Caenorhabditis elegans: one gene and its partner. The protein of the gene in region 1 interacts with the protein of each later gene in a pairwise test. Each region holds a gene or a part of one and is shown on either strand. Other genes may lie near its edges.

Region 1 (8,940 bases):
ATGCTTTTTGTCAACCAAATTGTTCGCCGCGCGTCCCATCTATTTCATAATCTTCCTGGTTTCGAAACGAAAAGTGTCAAGTTGAATAGCACCAATCGCCTGTCAAATTGCTTGCCCACCCAACCAGATATAGTGTCCGAGTTTTAATTTCGCATATCCCGCAATGCTAAATGTACGGTTAATAATAGGTATTGTGACCAGCCTCTCCCCTTCAAAATGTTCCGACAAATTGTTACTGCTGTCCGAGGGAATCTTCATGATGATCATAATAGCGGCGGTCAGAAGCTCCGAAATGATTAATTGCCAAAGCATTTCACACCACTAAATGGTCCCTCCGGAAGAAGTTGCACGCCTATTTGTGGTGGTCCCATCGTTTCAATTCGATAATCTTATCGCTTTGAACTCTCCGCCAAGGCATCAATGGGTATGATGAACCTACGGATTAGCTTTGTAACGTTAAAGTGGCGAAACACCTGTCCAATGTCTTACTACCCTTTTGCCATTATAATCTTATACATACTCGGCGTTTGCCGCCAGCTTCCTACCCAAGGCTTCGCAACTTCTTACCCAAGCCTTGCCCAAAAAATAAAAACATTTATAAGGAGTTGCCAAGACTTGGGTAAACCTTGGGCAAGAGTTGGGCGCCGCCCCTGCTGAGCCATGATGGTCGCGCGAAAAGATGCACACTCGTAAAAATATATAGTACTCATATTCTGATAGATATTTTTGAGGAAGTACCAGACATATCGGATTGATACGGTATTCTCACATACCTTATTTCATTTTTTTTTTCAAGTGTGCTCCCTAATGATTCTAAGTTCAGAATTTACAGAATTACTGTAATTCATGTTTGTTTCATGTCTTTCAATTTTATAAAAGTTTACATTTCAAAGGAACAGTTCAGTCTTAGAAAAATTCAAAATTTGATGCATAGGATTGACTGACTATTACTTGACTATTGGACTGACTAGGAGAAGAATAATCCTGAAGATAACTTTTCTTTTTATTTTTAGATAAATTAAATGGTTTATTAGACAAAATGGCAATAAAAAGCAAACTTTGTTCGTACATTTTTTAAACAATGTTAGCCATCAGAGAAAAATATTTAGAATTTGCCTTTGAAGGGACAAGTTTTCCTGTGAATTCTTTCAATTACATTGAAATTCCTCTATTTTAAATACAAATTACTCAAAAGACAAAGTGTCGATTTACGCTAAAAATTGCGCATGCGGGATTTCGGAATCTTGTTCGTTCTTTACATCTGCAAACTTGGGTAAGAAGTTGGCAAAACTTGGCTAAGACTTGGGCAAGACTCGGGCGAGGGAGTTTACACTAGAATTGTTGAAGTTGGGTAAGACTTGGGCATACACTGGGCTAGAAGTTGGCAAGAGTTGGGTAAGAAGCTGAAAAGGCCCAAACTTGGGGAAGAAGCTGCCGGGAATTGCCGAGTATATATGTATATTCCTATTTTCCCGGCGGGAGTTCCACTCCCAATACGCTCGTAAAATATTTTCATCGTAGAATAGAAAACTTGTCGAAAATGAGTGTCAGTTCCATGGACACGTCCTCCAGAGAGTTCGTGCATACAAAATGATACATCAAACATTTGAAGGGCACCGCAACACAATGCGCAAATCCTCACACACATACGCCAACACTTTCTTCAGGTGTGATAAATGAAAAGAGTGCGAGAGCTTGTGTGACATGTCAATCGGTGTGTGGATAAATTACCCCAAACACACACTTCCGATAGTGACAGCCGTGGTGTTCGTCACTCCACACGAGGATAACCGAACGCGGGTGCTCACCGAGATTCACACCATCTTAATTGGTCTGTCTGTGATGAGCGGGCTTGGAAGAGCGAAAGACAACGAATGCGGTGGAATTGGGTTAAAGTTTGCCGACAACCCGGAAAAGATTCAATCTCAAACGGAAATTGAACATTTTGATTAATGAGTTTATAAGCGAAAATGTGTTGGAAGGAGCAATTTGACACTTTCTTTGGGTTTTGGATGCTGACGGGAATATCTTGCAATGAGATTGATTGGGTGTTGACATACAGTTTGAGAGGTCTCTTGCATTAGTCATTGGTCTTTATGATTTACCGAATCGTCGGATAAGAATCAGTATGCGAAATTAAGCATAATTTTATAAGAACGTTTTTCATGAAAATACTTCGTAAAGCTTTTATGACACGGTATGGATATTTACTGTAAAGTACCGTATTCCTCTAATTGAATTTACAGTATTCCCCTCGGTTGACCGGATAAAAAACAGCTCATTATTTGTCCACAGGATCCTTTATTCGATGCCAAGTGTATTCTGTGGTACTCGATATGACGGATGAATTACCACCAAATTTGAACCATATGTCGTCGACAATTCCGATGCTTGTCTTCTCCCACCACTTGTCGTCGTCATCTTCTGCTCAATTATCTTCGCACCATAGTCAATATGAACACTATCCAGAGAAAAGAGTCACCATCACCTTTTATTACCACACACACACACACGGGTACACCAATAAAAGGGCAAGTCGTAAACGAAAAGCGCCTGCCTGCTGACATTTGGTGATGCCCACCCTTTCACATCTGGCATCCTTGACCACTATTACAGGAAGACGTTTGTTTTTTTTCAATGCCCGTTTGAATCACTTTAGAGCATTCTCTATAATTTGGAGCTTTCGTAAAATCACTTTGAAGGGAAAATTGAAGAAATCTAGGGAACAGCCGGGTGCAATCGAGAACGGGGGCGAGTGGAGCTGCACAATTTAACAGAACCTCATGAATATATGATAAGTTCGTGAATGCAATCTCCATCAGAAACCTTAGCATGACGTTGAGATTTTAGGAGCAAAGTTTTGCTTGAGCTCAGATGATAATGATATTACATAGATCTTCACATAGATAAGCTCAACTTCGTCCTTGGAGATGGTTCTGAAATTTTTTAGAACTATTATATTCAGTCAAACACCCTCTTGCTTCCAAGAAAACTCAAGCATCCACCACCCGACGCCAAAAACGCCTGAAGCGGGAATAGATTTTCTTTTAGTGGTGTGATAATTGCCACCCTCTGGTACATGAAAACAACATTAGGTGGTGCTGTCAGGCACACATTGCTTCTTCCTCTTCTATCCGGTCATCCTTCTTCTTCTTCTTCCCATGGGTGGTGTCTCTGTTGACCCTCCTTCGCCTTAAGCCCCGCCCCTTTATCCGCCCGTCCCCTTCGCCTTCTCATGGTGTTTTGCCTCACGTTTGCTGCTTCTAGCTGCTGTGTTGTTTGTCTTCTGGAGAAGTCAAGGATTCTTTGTTCCGAATTGGAACAATGATTTCATACATTTTGCTTTTATTTTTAAGTTTTTTGGTATTATGCTCTATTGCACTACCATCATCATGTCCGAATCTTTGTGAATGCGATCAAAATGACTCGTCTTGGAGTGTTTATTGTCGAAAGGCAATCATAAACGATACGATTTACGCGGAAATTCTAAACCAACTTCCGTTGACTCTTCGATCACTTCATATTCAGGTTAGTAAACGATAAGATCTAAAACCACAACGTCCGTCCGTCAATCTAATCCCTTCATTTACATAAATTGTTTTAGCCGCCCTCAAATCGCATTGGTTCTAACAAACTTCGATGGAATGACAACATAAACCGTTTTGCACAGCTTCGAGTTCTTCGTCTCATCAATTGTCAGATTCCAGCAATGTCCCGATCCATTCGACTGCCATCTTTGGAAGTATTAGATCTACACTCAAACAATATTGAGCATGCGACAATGAGCAACTTTGGTGGTATGCCAAAACTTCGAGTATTGGATTTATCATCGAATCATTTGAATATTCTTCCAACTGGAGTATTCACATATCTTAGAGCCCTGCGATCATTGTCTCTATCCAATAATACTATCAGTGATCTTTCTACAAATTTACTTCGAGGTCTCAATTCTCTTCGAGTTCTACGACTAGACCGGAATCCTATTCCAATTGAACACATCAATGAGTTATTCACAGATGTTTCCCAATTGGATGAATTATATTTGAATCATTGCAATCTTTCATCAATTTATTCTCTGGCTCTTGATCGTATTCCTCAACTCCGTCAACTTGGAATCGGAGGAAATAATCTCAAAATGGTTCCAACTAAAGAACTGAGATCTCTTCCTCAACTTTCTGTTCTCGACTTGTCTCACAATTCCATTCAAGAAATCACAGCCTGTGCATTTTGCAATACGAATATCTCAAAATTGGATCTTTCCCACAATTTGCTCGGAATTTCGAAAGACTCTCCGTTTAACGAGGATGCGTTCCGAACGATGCCATTACGTCATCTGGATTTGTCATTCAATCATATGAATGATTTTGACTCAAAATGGTTGGGATGGGCACAAGAAGAGCTGACTTCGATTGCATTGTCAGGAAATTTCTTGAAAAGTGAGTTTTTGTAGCAAAAGTTAAAATAACCCCAAAACTAGATTTTTAAAACTTTTTAGATTGTTTTTAATTTAAAAGTTTTTCCGATTTTTAAATTTGAAGAACGGTTTTTCAAAGTTACTAGAGATGGCATAATTAATTTGTAATTTTAGATTTCGAGGAGTCATGGACCTATACATTGAAGTCGTTGATTCATCTCGAACTGGCCTACAACCACATCAAATTCATCCCGGTACAGCTGCCGTCTCGCTATTACCACCTGATTTCATTGAACATTTCCGGAAATGAATTGACTTATTTGCCTGACAATATCAACACTTTGCTTCCAAATGTGAAAGTATGTCCATTTTCTATACGAAATTCGAAGCGTTTGTGGACCCCCTTATATGGGGACACGCATGTCATTTGAAACCTGCTCACTGAGATTTCTTTAGACTTTCGACATCACAGCCAACCGATTCCACACCTTCTCGCATACAGATTTGGCATTCCTAAATAATGTTGAACAAGTGTACGTAGATGGAAATCCTTGGGATTGTTCATGTGCTATTCAAGGACTTCAAGTGAGTCTTTTCCTCTCTTATTTCTGAATTAATTCGAACATCTTTTCAGGTTCATATGCGAGATCGTTATGCGATGAGACACATTCTCAACTACGATAATGTCCGATGCGCGACACCATCGCTTGTGGAAGGTCATTCAGTTCTGGCAATTACCGACGTAAGATTCACATTCACGTTATTAATTTCACTATTTAAAAACTTCAGGTAAACGACTGTGCCGTTTTGTTTGGTGCACGGTATGGATTAACGCAAACAAGTGAAATGCTCATACTTCTCGCAGGAGTTCTCCTTTTTGCCGCACTACTTCTTATGATTCTTGGATGCATCTATTTCCTTCGTGAGCGACAGTACAAAGGATCATATGTGACACGAGAACACTCTCGAACTCCACTCACGATGGCAAACACACATAGTTGCTCTTCGAGTACAAATGATACACATGGTCCATTATCACCACCATTTGATCCATTCTTGGTTAGTACTGAAACATTTAAAGCCACTCCTCCATTGATTCCACCAGCACCTCCAAAACCTGGATCATCCTATTTTGGCATTTAAATATCCTTTTGAGAGTTTCAAATGTTTCAAAAATCTAAATCCGTGTGATTATTTGCATCCATCTAGTCGTTCGATCTCCCAGCCCCATTTTCATGTATTTTTGCCCCCTTTTTCGATACGGTGTTCAATTGTTTAACCCTTTGTCTGTAAATAAAATAAACTGCTCGTAGATATACCAAGTTCAATGAAATAGACAGGAGCCTTAATCAGCAGCATAATAGTAGTTTTCAAGAGGTAAGACACCTCTTCTCGGCCGTAAATCCGTCGGCAAAGAAGTAATAAATCGGCGAGGCTGTTGTCTTTACGCCCTGGTTCTCTGTGGGGGTCAACTCATTTGTCAAATGCACACCAAGACAAATGCATAATTGAGAAGGTTTCGAGAAGGAGAGTTGACTTTTTCGTTTAAAAAAACTCCGCGGGAAAATCTCCGTAGCCACAAAATTTTGACGTTTATGAATTGAAAATTGGTTGTTCGACAGGGACTCGTTAATTTATGAGTTTATGAGCCATTCGAATAATAAATTGATGTGCGTATGTATGTGCACACGCGCGCGAATTCGTGGATGTAGATTGCACAATCTGTTATGACACGTCGTCTCATCCGTTAGATTCCCAAGTGACACCCAAAACAATTGGAGTAAGCCAATGCCAATTAAGTTGGATAGATGACCACGAAGAACAAGACATAACTATGAAAAATGACGGATCGGTGTTCGTCGCACAAGTACACATGTAAACATCCGTCTCTTTCGATAATTACCACTATTCTATGCTTTTGAACAGTCAATAAAATTGTATACTTTCAGTTTGAGTATACAATTTTGTGATCGAATTTCTCTACGATTCAATAAACAAAAGCATCAATCTTCTGGAAGTCAACCAAAGCTTCTTGGATCAAAAAGAAGTAGTCTTGTTGAAACTACAAAAGCTAATTTCCAAGACTTGCCATCGTATGTTCGCGCGTGGTTTTAAATTAATTGACATCTTTCTTGTATAAATATTCTTTATATGGCAGCACATCTGCCTCATATTCAAAATTCCGGGGGAATTTGTTAATGAAGATTTAATATATCGACGACAAATTCAAAACCCAAAACCTTTGGTATAGATCCATTGTGGGTAGAAGCCTACTGTTGGTGTCCATAAACGGCGAATCACCTGTGTAAGGATCGTGAGCGTCGGTAAAAGTTTTCTATGAGCTAAAAAGACTACAATTTCAGGAAACCATGACGCAGGAAATTTTCAATCATACAAAAGCTTTCATCATTGACCATAGCTGTGTTTTCTTTGAAATTCTGATCCATCTTCCGACAAAAAATGAATTGACACCTTCTTTGTCCTCTCATTCAGTTTCTTTACTGCTTGATGAAATAAACTGTGCGGTGTCAAAAAACGAAGGTCATTAGTGTGTAGTAGTAATTCAGTCGTCTTCTTGTTAAATGTAGCAGATGAAAATTCGTACAAGTGTCACAAACGAAGAGTCTCTCTCTCTCTCTCTCTCTCTCTACAGAGTCGTAAATCTTTCCGGACGCCATGGACATGCAAGAGGGAGCCACCACTACGATTACCCAGATTATTATCATATGCGGAAGAAAGATTTGTCTACAATAGCCATTGCGTGTGCATTAGCGATCCCTTTCCCGGATATGTTCAATTACAAGGGATTGGAACATTAACTTCGACTCATTGACAGACAAAATATAGTACCCAATAGCAAGAATTGCTACAGTAATCTAAATCCCTAAAAACCTTACCAATCCCATTACAAAGTAGTTGAAGAAGAAATTTGGTGGTCCATAGAGTGTCTCCTTGTGAAGTCCACGATGAATTCTGGAAATTTTCAATATTCAGATGAAGCGGAAATTTTGATAAAGCTAGAAACTGTTAATGGTTAAATTTTAAAAACTTCAGTTTTCGAGAAATTTTAGGCGTTCCTGAATTTTTAAATATTTTTTTAATGAAATTTTCTGAAATCTTTTAACTTTTTTTTTCAAAATTTATCCTTTTTAAATATTAGTTGGAAAGTTGTTAAATAAATTTCAGGCATTTTGAAAAAAAAGAACTTTTTTCACAATTTTTTAATTTATTCATTGGATATTGCTGAATATCAACAAAATGCTATATGAATTATTTTTAATTGATATAAAACGCTTACATTGAAACCCTTCAACTTTTTTTAAGAAAATTTTTCTTCAAAAATTGTTTAAATTTTCAGTGGAAAATTCAACATCTATTGAAAATAAATCTAAATTTGTGAGAAAAGAATTTGAATTTTCAAGAGAACGAGAACGTACTTCATCTTGTCATCGGACTTGTAGAAGACCTTTGTCGGGGCTCCAAGAATCGATTGCACATCCTAAAATTTAAATTTTTAGAACAAATTTTTTTGATTGAGAAAACCAACCGAAACAGAGTCTCCAAAATAGATTTGTCGTGTGTACGTGGATACATCATACTCTCCATCGACAATTCTTCCGTCTGCAAATATTCACTTTTTTTAATAATTTCAAAAAATTCCAGTACTTTGAGTATCAAATTGAATATCAATTCCAACAATATTCCCATTTTCCCAAATTGCTTCGACTTTTCTCGTCCGATTTTGACCACAATAACACGAGAATGGAGTATCCACGGATCTTCAAATTTTGAGAAATAAATAGAAATAAATAATAAATTCTCACTCTGGCTCAGATGGATTTGGTCCACGATAAATGGACATCTTGGTAAGTTTTGGTTGAGAGTTGGCATCATATTTCAGCGAACGAAGATTTCCACCAAATCCAGGCTGAAATTGAAGAATGTTTGAAATTTCGGTTTTTGGGAGATATAAAAAACTTTTTGGAAATTAAAGGTGAAGTAGCGGCTGTAGGTTAGAAAAAACTCTTTTAATTTTTTACTATATTCGGTATCGTATTTTTGATTCGAAAAAACCCACAGACGGTACTCCAACTTTAATACCCAAAAAGATCAAACTACAGTACCCTGACTTCCAAATTCGAATTTTCTCCTCCATATGGGAAACAGAAAGATAATCCCGGCCAACTTTGCACATAGATATTGTGCTTATCATCATATGATCCTGGATGTGTCGATCCAAAAAATTCGTTGACCCGATCCAACGTCGCCATGTTATTTGGATCAGAGAAGATTGTATCGCTGAAAATTTTTATGAAGAAATTGTATGACTATCTTGGCAATTGAAATTGATTTTTTTTCTTTGATAGTTTCACAATGACCCGAAACGACCGAATTCAACAGAGAGAATTTTCAATTTTCAGATTTTATGCAAGGCTGAAATTTTTCGAATTTTCAAAACGCCATAATTTGTTTTAAATTCAATAGTTTTAAACGAGCTTCTGTAGTTTTTTTTTTTTGATGGTATC
Region 2 (8,114 bases), on another chromosome or scaffold:
CAGTTCAAGACATCATCATCATTTCCGACACGTGGTTCTGCAATTCTCAGTGATTCTTTTTTCAACAATTTATATATCTGTTGTTTTCCAGTTTTTCGTAGAAATGTTCGTATAGAAGACTTGCCCAGCCCTCCCAGCTCACCTATATTGCATATTATTTGTACGGGTGTAGAAGTGAAAGTTCTGCTCTTTTTATAATCTTTTCATTTTCAATCAAGCGTACTTTCATACTCTCCTGTTTGAATAATACGCTTCTTTTTGAATTCCAAAATGTCAATGCTCAACAAAAAACCATGCTCAATATCACCCTTGTTTTCTTTTTTGCCTATTCTGTACAATTTATTGTTTTTTTTGCTCTCACTTATTCCACCCTCCCACAAAAACCTTGCCATATTGGTGATTTGCCTCTCTATATTTTTCAAACTTTCCGACAATTTTTGTGTGCTTGTGTGCTGCTCATTTTTCCTCCGCCGTTTCCCCATAGACATTTCTCATGTGTTCCGAACTTCCAACAACGCCTCGTTTCTTCTTTTTTGTGTTTGCAAGTCATAATCATCAACGAACCCTTAGCATCAAACAATAAACGGGAGAATTTTTTTATTAAATTTAAAAATGTTGCATTTTAGGAACATTCTATACAAGCTAACTCGATGATAACAACTGTTGGAACTAGAATTTATCAATTGATTTTTCTCAATTTTCCAGTTTATATGTTCGATGGAACCTCCAGATATTTTGGAACAATGTTCTAGATCCCAATTTATTCGGGCTTTAAAGTCAAAGATCTTTGTGATCCTCATGACACAATAGACAATTTCCTTACGGAAAAATTCAGAGAAACCTATTTTCAAAAATTCTACTCAACAATCACATTTGCTTCCTTTCTGAAATAAACATCGATTCTGAAGTATTTTCGGTTCGATGAGTATTCGCATTGATGTCTATGAGTACATTGTTGGAAACTGATCCCCTCACATATTTTTCGAAATCTACGTGCAGAATTCATGATATTTCATAATTATTTTCACACCTTTTTTCCTAAAATTGTCTGGGATTCAGAATAGGCTTAACGAATTCTTCTTTTTACTGAAATTTCTATTAATATTTCAAAATGAACGGAAACCTAACTACTTTCATTTCTTCTGTTATTTATGGTATTCCATCCGTAGCACTTTATATCACAACTTGCATAGTTATTATCAAAAACAATAAATTATTTGATTCATCGTTTTACCAAATTTTTATGTTTGACGGATTTATGAACATTTTCACCTACATAATGGGACTCGTCTTCATGCGACTTACCAGTATAACGTGTTATAACTGTTTGATGGCACCAATTTTCAGACACATAGGTTAGTTCCACGGTGAAAAATTTCGTGCATATACTACTGAAACCTAGCTAAAAAAAATACTTGATTTTAAACGACCGGTAGTAGATTTCATAAAATTTAGTTTCCAGGTAATTTTTTGCCCTTAACATTTATGGGTACAATGGCTTATCATATGGCATATGTTCAATACGCTTTAACAACTCTTGTTTCTTTGAATCGGTTGACAGTATTGTTTAAGTATAACATTTTCGAACCGGTAAATCAATCTACGACGAATTCAAAGACACAAATAGAATTTCAGATTTGGAAAAAAATTACATGGTTATTTATTCTAGTTGCTTATTTTGTTCCCTTTCTCAACACTCATATTATTTTTCAAAATAAATTCACAATTGACTATCTCAACGAAAGCGACTCTTACACATTGCAAACCCCAAATATGGTGGGCGGAAACTTTTACAAAACAAAAAAAAATAAAAATAAATAAATAAATAACTTGATTGAGGTTTCAGCCATTCATAGAAATTTACAATGTATTAATTCCATTTATGTGCATTTGTATGGCAATTTCAATTCTTTCCAATACTACAAGTGTCATATTTTTACGAAATCTGAATATTCAAAGAAAAAAAGCGGAAACAAACTTTTTACTCATAATGTCTATAACATGTTTAGTCCAACTTATTGGAACAATAATTTCTATTGCTTTATTGAAGTGCAACTATTGTTCTATGTTATCATATCTTACAATGGTTCTACCATTTGTTAGTGACGGTTTATCTTTGGTGCAACCTTGGCTGTTGATTTGTTTTAGTAAAACTGTGAGGGTTGAAATATAGTCTCAAGAATGTTATATCCTGATTTTCAGATGAGAAAAGAAATTTTGATATTGTTTGGTATAAAACCTAAAGCAACGATTCTCCAAGTACGATCTTTGACAAACTAAGTTATGAAAATGCGAGTGTATGGAAAGACACAAATTATTTTTAAAATTCCAATTTGATTTTGAAACTTCTTGTTTTACATTTATTAATTGAACATTATTTACATTCATTATTAAGATCAAATTGTTAAAAACCCGTATTTCAAAATAAAGAGATCAAATCACAGAATTTTTAAATTGAGAGCATATCAGTTCACATACTGCTGTCATCGTCAATCACTACAAATGGCCGATGTGATTGATGATTTACTCTTCCAGTTTTTAGAATTAGCCCATTGTTTTTCCATCTGAAAACCTTTATTTTACTCTTGAAAGTTGTTTTATTAGACGAAAGTTACATGTTTAGAAAAATCCGCAAATCAGATTAAACTTACTTTGTCTGCTCTCTGTACTCTTTTCGACTTGTGCAACAAACGTCGTGTGCATGTTTTGAAGTGATGAGGAAGTAGGCACAAAAAATTGAAAAGATGAATGCAGCAATTAATAGCATGGAACCAAACATATGCATGTACGTTGCAATGCCAAGACGCTTCTGGAATTTGAAAAAAAAAATAAAAAGATGACATCAATTTTTTTTCGAATTTTTACATAAATGGGTCCAATGGATCCTCGTTCTCTTCTCGATAAAACTTCTTGGTGTGGCTCAGATTGTTCTTTTGTAAAAATTGGTTTCTGATTAAAAGCAAATATGTAGATAATATCTGCTAATAAAGAACATGCTCCGGTCATAAAGACACCAACTACATAAAGTAGTGCATTTGGTGGAAAACATGGAGAACAGGAGCCAATCAGGATGGAGATTAGTCCGAAAACAAAAGTGAAAACTGCGAAGAAAATTACACCTTTGTGATGAGCTGAAATTAATTTTTTTTTGGTTTCATGAAGAATATAAAATCAACTTGTATCTTCAGTAATTTTGTGTTTGGACAGTAAAATCTAATTTATTGTTACCGCATATTCTAGATCAGAAAATACTAAATTACAAAAAATAGCATTACAGTCCTAGAATTTAAGACAGAAAATCAATTGAATTAATAGCATGGAACCAAACATGTGTATGTACGTTGCAATGCCAATACGCTTCTGTATCCAGAAAGAGAAAATTGATCAACAAATTATTGAACTACTACGCTCACACTCTAATTATTTTAAAAAATAACTTGAACCTGCATTTGGTAAATCAGTTTTATATAGTTTCTAGTTTATCTTTCTAACAAAGAAAAAAGTAAGTTTCGGCACATGAAAAGCATTAAAATATTGTTAACTTACGTAGAAACCGATGTAACAAAAGCTCTCTGGCCTCTTCATCTCCTTTTTCAAGAGCAACTCTTAATGATGCTTGAACCGAAGAATCCATCTTACTATCACATCGATCACCTTAAACTTGTTTTATTTAGAAAACAAAAGCAGAAAAAAGGTACCTCGAAGTTCTGCTTGATCTTCATGTAACGGAATTAAAGTTTCATGATGTACAATACAATCCCACCAAAGACCGTGATGATGTGATAAATGAGAACGAGGAAAATCAACTACCTACAAAATTGACATTTAAAAAAAACCAGAATTTTATTGACTAGAAACTTACTTCCCAAAGAGGACTAAACAACGAGAACGCAGTTAATATTAGCCCGGAAACGATTAAGAATATTGAAGTGACTAATAGAAATTTGTACATAATTAATGGCATTCCGTGGTTACTCTGAAAAATCTTAAACTAGAAGAATGTGGAAACGTGTTAAAAGTGCTAGTTAAAAGGAGAAGTCGTGAGTCTCGAATTTCAAGGAAGATCAAGTGGGCACTTGAATTGGAGGAATGAACGGAAGAATACGTAGAAATGGAGTGAGAGAAGGGTATTGGATTATCTTTTTGCTTTTGCAGGGTGAGAAAATATCGGAATACTTTTAAGGATGTTTAATGAGAATTGTGAAAACTCTGAAGTTTGAGGAGAAAACTTTCTTCTGCTATAAAAGAAAACAAAAGCAGCAAAAACATAATAAACCAGGTGTGTAGACACGTAAATGAATTCAACTATTGCTTCGTATCTGTTTAGTTATATTGCGCAAGTGTCCAGAAATCTCAAATGCCTTCAAAACAAGCTATTGTCCTTGACTGAAGTCATGGAAGTTATTCAGAACAAAATAGAATTTTAAACGAACTTTTTTCTTTTCATTGTCTCGTTTCTATTCTATCTCGTTTCTTAATTGGAACTCAAAGAAAGTAAAAAAAACAAATGAATGAGAATTAGAAAATGCCCAAAATTACTGACAGTCAAGATGTAAGTAGAACAAATGATGAAAAAAAAAACTAGACGAGACATTTTGGTATGGAAGAGAGCAACTTGGAAATTGCACGTCTTGAGTTCCCTTAGGGCCTGGAACAGCTGAGAATGTGTGCAAAAGATTTATTAGGTGTTGAAAGAAAGATGTTGACCATAGGAGTACATTACAAGCGTAGCCTACTTTTCTACATGTTCTGAGTTTCATTTTTATAGATTTCTATGAACCAGCCAAAGTGAGAAAAACAGAACCAATGCAATCATCAGAAAAATAAAACTCAAATTTTTATGAATTAACGCAATGAAATTACATAACAAACCCAAATAAGTCGCTTTTCGTGAAAAATCAACAAATTTGAAAATTACGAAACCCAACAGAGCCACTCAAGATTGTATCTCGATTTTTGATAGACAAGAAGATGTCCAGTTTCGAAATTTTGGCAACATTTCCGGAAGAGGGAAGGAAAACGAACACTTGACATATGGTCGAATTATTCAAAGCACACTCAAAACACATATATAAAATACAATTTTGGATTAGCTATGAGTTTATGGCATTTACAAAAAAACCAAAGCACTTGAAATTCCCACGGAGAAGAAATTGAGAAATAAATGTTCAAAGAGCGGATTTAAGTGAATGATGTTGGAAACGAAAATATAACTACAATTAAAGTGTCCACCTAGTTCAAATATAATTTGGAATATTTGAAAGGTGTAGAGGATGTTGGAACCTTTTTCCTCGAAAACTCAGAAAACGTCTCATCGAATTAAAGTTTGTTTTCATCTCTTCCCGCCGCTTCTTTTTCAATTTTATGCAAAGTCCAAATGTCAGTTTCTATTGACATATCCTTGTATAGAGGTCATCAGACTAATTTTCTCAAATTGAAGAAGATCAATAAACACTGACTTTAAGAAAAACGAATATAGCCTGACGCAAAAACAAGTGGAATTACTTTTTAGTTGGGCGTATTTTTATTTCTCATGCAGATAAGGCGATGAGGGGGGCTTGTATATTCATTTCTAAGAAGAAAAATGTAATTATCTTTTTAGGTATTGCAGGTATCGAAAGAAAAATTTCGGCAGGATTCTGGGCATGTTGCTGAGAAAATTTAACTTTTTTTAAAAAATAATTTAAATCTTGTTGCATTTTGCATATATCAAAAAATCATTAAGTAAATATTTTTCAGTAACACTAACTGGAAGACAATTTTTTCATTCATTCAAAAAAAAGCTAGACATGAGAATGAACTTTTTTTATTTTCAGATTCTATGAAACATTTTGAAATGCAAGAACCGCTAAGAAAAGGTGAGAAAATGCTATTCACCCATTTTTCTCATTTCCAATGCATGAAATCTCCTAAATTCTAAATCGTAGGTGCACTCTCCGCAAATTGTTCGTTGAGAAGGCGGAGACTCTGGATTTCCTTAAAGCGACTAAAAAAAATGATGAATTGCCGAACATTTGTCATCAAGACAAACACACAAAAAATAAAATGAATGATGGAAATGAAGGAGAATGTGAGGAGGGAAAAATTGGCTGTGGAAACGTGAAAAAGATGGAGGATATTGTTTGTGTGCTGGAATGAGAGGTTCCTCGGAAATAAATTGAAGAACCACGCCACCACCCGCTCTTTAACACTTTCATTAATCTATTTTTGTGGAAGGGTAATCTAGTTTTAAAAGAAGACCAGAGACATCAAAAGTTGACGTGATCCTGGAATTTGTTGCAAAATGCAATTGCTTCTATTGGGTCAACGATTGTACATTATGCTTACAAATTTCAAGTTCATTTCAAAATGACGGGAACTCAAAAAAATACATGTAATGTTCAAATTGGTATGGAAATCATATTTATCAGAAATCTATGTATGAATAATGTCACAATTATGTACAGTAGATACCGTATTTCCTCGAACAGTGTAGTGCTTCGTTTCTCAATTTCGGCCGCTCAAATCTTGGTGATTCAATTTTGTTTTCTGGTTATAGACATTCGAGGCATTTTCAGGCTTGGTGGGCATATGTAAAAGGAAACAAGAAAATAATTCGATGTAGAAGTGTGATAAAAGAGCCCAGATATGAGGGAAACGTATTTGGGTATAAAACTATATAAAACCCTGATAACATGTTCATCTAGTACAACTGAGAACAATCAGTTACTTTTTCGGTAGATCTCCGGGTCTTCAAGCATAAAGAACAATAAACTTAAGGCACTTACATAACCTATAACAGGTCAAAATTCATAAAAGTATTTGCACTTACTGGTTCAGACCAAAACTCTCACGAAATGACGCAGAAATTAAGTATTGAACGAAGAGCATGAAATTGGAAAAGCTCCCAAAAATGAGAAACAGGAACATCGTGGAGTTTTCAGAAAAATAGTCATCTTCAGAAACACAACGCTGAGCCCAAGGTTATTTGTTTCACAACCAAAACCAGAAATTCTGGTCGTGCCTGCTTTTTCAGATAAAACCTAATTTCCTAGAACGAAATGGAAACCAAAAAGAGGTTTCGACTGAAATTCCGGAAATCTCGTTTCATTCGAAAAAAGAAACCAATCGGTCAAATTGAAAGGGGCAGATGAAGTTGAAGAACAAAAAAAAAGAAAAATGAAAAAAAGAATGAAGAATGAGCTTGAATGTAGACGGAAGACCACAAACGAACTTGATGTGTTCTTCTGATGAACTGCAGGGACAAGATGGATTCCACAGAGAGTTCAAGAAATGTGGAAATGATTTCCGAATATTCTCCAATGTTTTGAAACATATTGAATACAAATATGTGATATTAATGAGAAAAATGTTTTAAAATTATTTTAACGAACTTTTAATAGCGAATATTTTATATCTACTTGAAGAAAAGAACCCTTCCAATCAGGGATGGATTCACCCGTGACCCGTTTCACCCGTTCACCCGTTTTTGGGCGTTTTCGCGGGTGACGGGTGACCCGATCACCCGTTTTTTTTTAAATTTTACGGGTGAAATCCATCCTTGCTTCCAATTGAAGACTGGACCAGGTTAACGGTGGTTTCATGTACTCTTTCAGTTTCTGGAAGAATCAGTTTCGCCAGATGCTCAAACTTTTAGGTACAGAGTGCAAATTTCTATTATCTAGTTTTAAGAAATGCGTTATTCTTACTCAAAGATACGGTGCCAGGTCTCAAAGCGAACAAATACTATATGTACAGTAAGAAATGTGTTTATGTACTGTTGTTCTTCGACCCCAATTTTTTTCTGCAAATAGAAGAAAACGAGGGAATATAAACAACAAATTTTCTAAAATCGGAGGGCCGAGTGAGAAATAGAAAAAAAAGCAAAAACATTGTGAGAGTAAGAAAGTAAGAAGCTACAGTACTATTTATTTAAAGGTGCACATCCCATTGCGAAAACAGTTTTTGTTCGTTTTGGGACCGAATCGAATTTTTCTCGTATTTAGGCGAGAAAACATATTTGGTTAATTTGATTAGGGTTAGGTAGATCTGAAATATCATAGATCCATGTTATATCATAGGTTAAGCAAGTTAACCGACAGTAACCCATAACCCCTCAGAAATTGTTAAAATAA

What was found.
Region 2: the proteins of dma-1 (region 1) and hpo-30 come close enough for resonance energy transfer, tested with the Caenorhabditis elegans proteins (one study listed by BioGRID).

The regions. Positions count from the first base shown.
Region 1 is NC_003279.8:8,278,742-8,287,681, forward strand, and holds dma-1 (LRRCT domain-containing protein), read left to right. Parts: upstream 1-3,227; 5' UTR 3,228-3,324; coding exon 3,325-3,528; intron 3,529-3,604; coding exon 3,605-4,436; intron 4,437-4,588; coding exon 4,589-4,773; intron 4,774-4,870; coding exon 4,871-4,999; intron 5,000-5,048; coding exon 5,049-5,156; intron 5,157-5,203; coding exon 5,204-5,557; 3' UTR 5,558-5,736; downstream 5,737-8,940. Other genes in the region: phaf-1 (PHAF1 protein T01G9.2), read right to left, coding at 7,312-7,387, 7,852-7,913, 7,962-8,035, 8,081-8,193, 8,239-8,342, 8,539-8,713.
Region 2 is NC_003283.11:12,306,379-12,314,492, forward strand, and holds hpo-30 (Clc-like protein), read right to left. Parts: upstream 3,979-8,114; 5' UTR 3,965-3,978; coding exon 3,863-3,964; intron 3,811-3,862; coding exon 3,699-3,810; intron 3,655-3,698; coding exon 3,547-3,654; intron 3,132-3,546; coding exon 2,866-3,131; intron 2,810-2,865; coding exon 2,652-2,809; intron 2,565-2,651; coding exon 2,471-2,564; 3' UTR 2,347-2,470; downstream 1-2,346. Other genes in the region: srg-45 (Serpentine receptor class gamma), read left to right, coding at 1,112-1,355, 1,463-1,590, 1,636-1,776, 1,847-2,155, 2,203-2,280.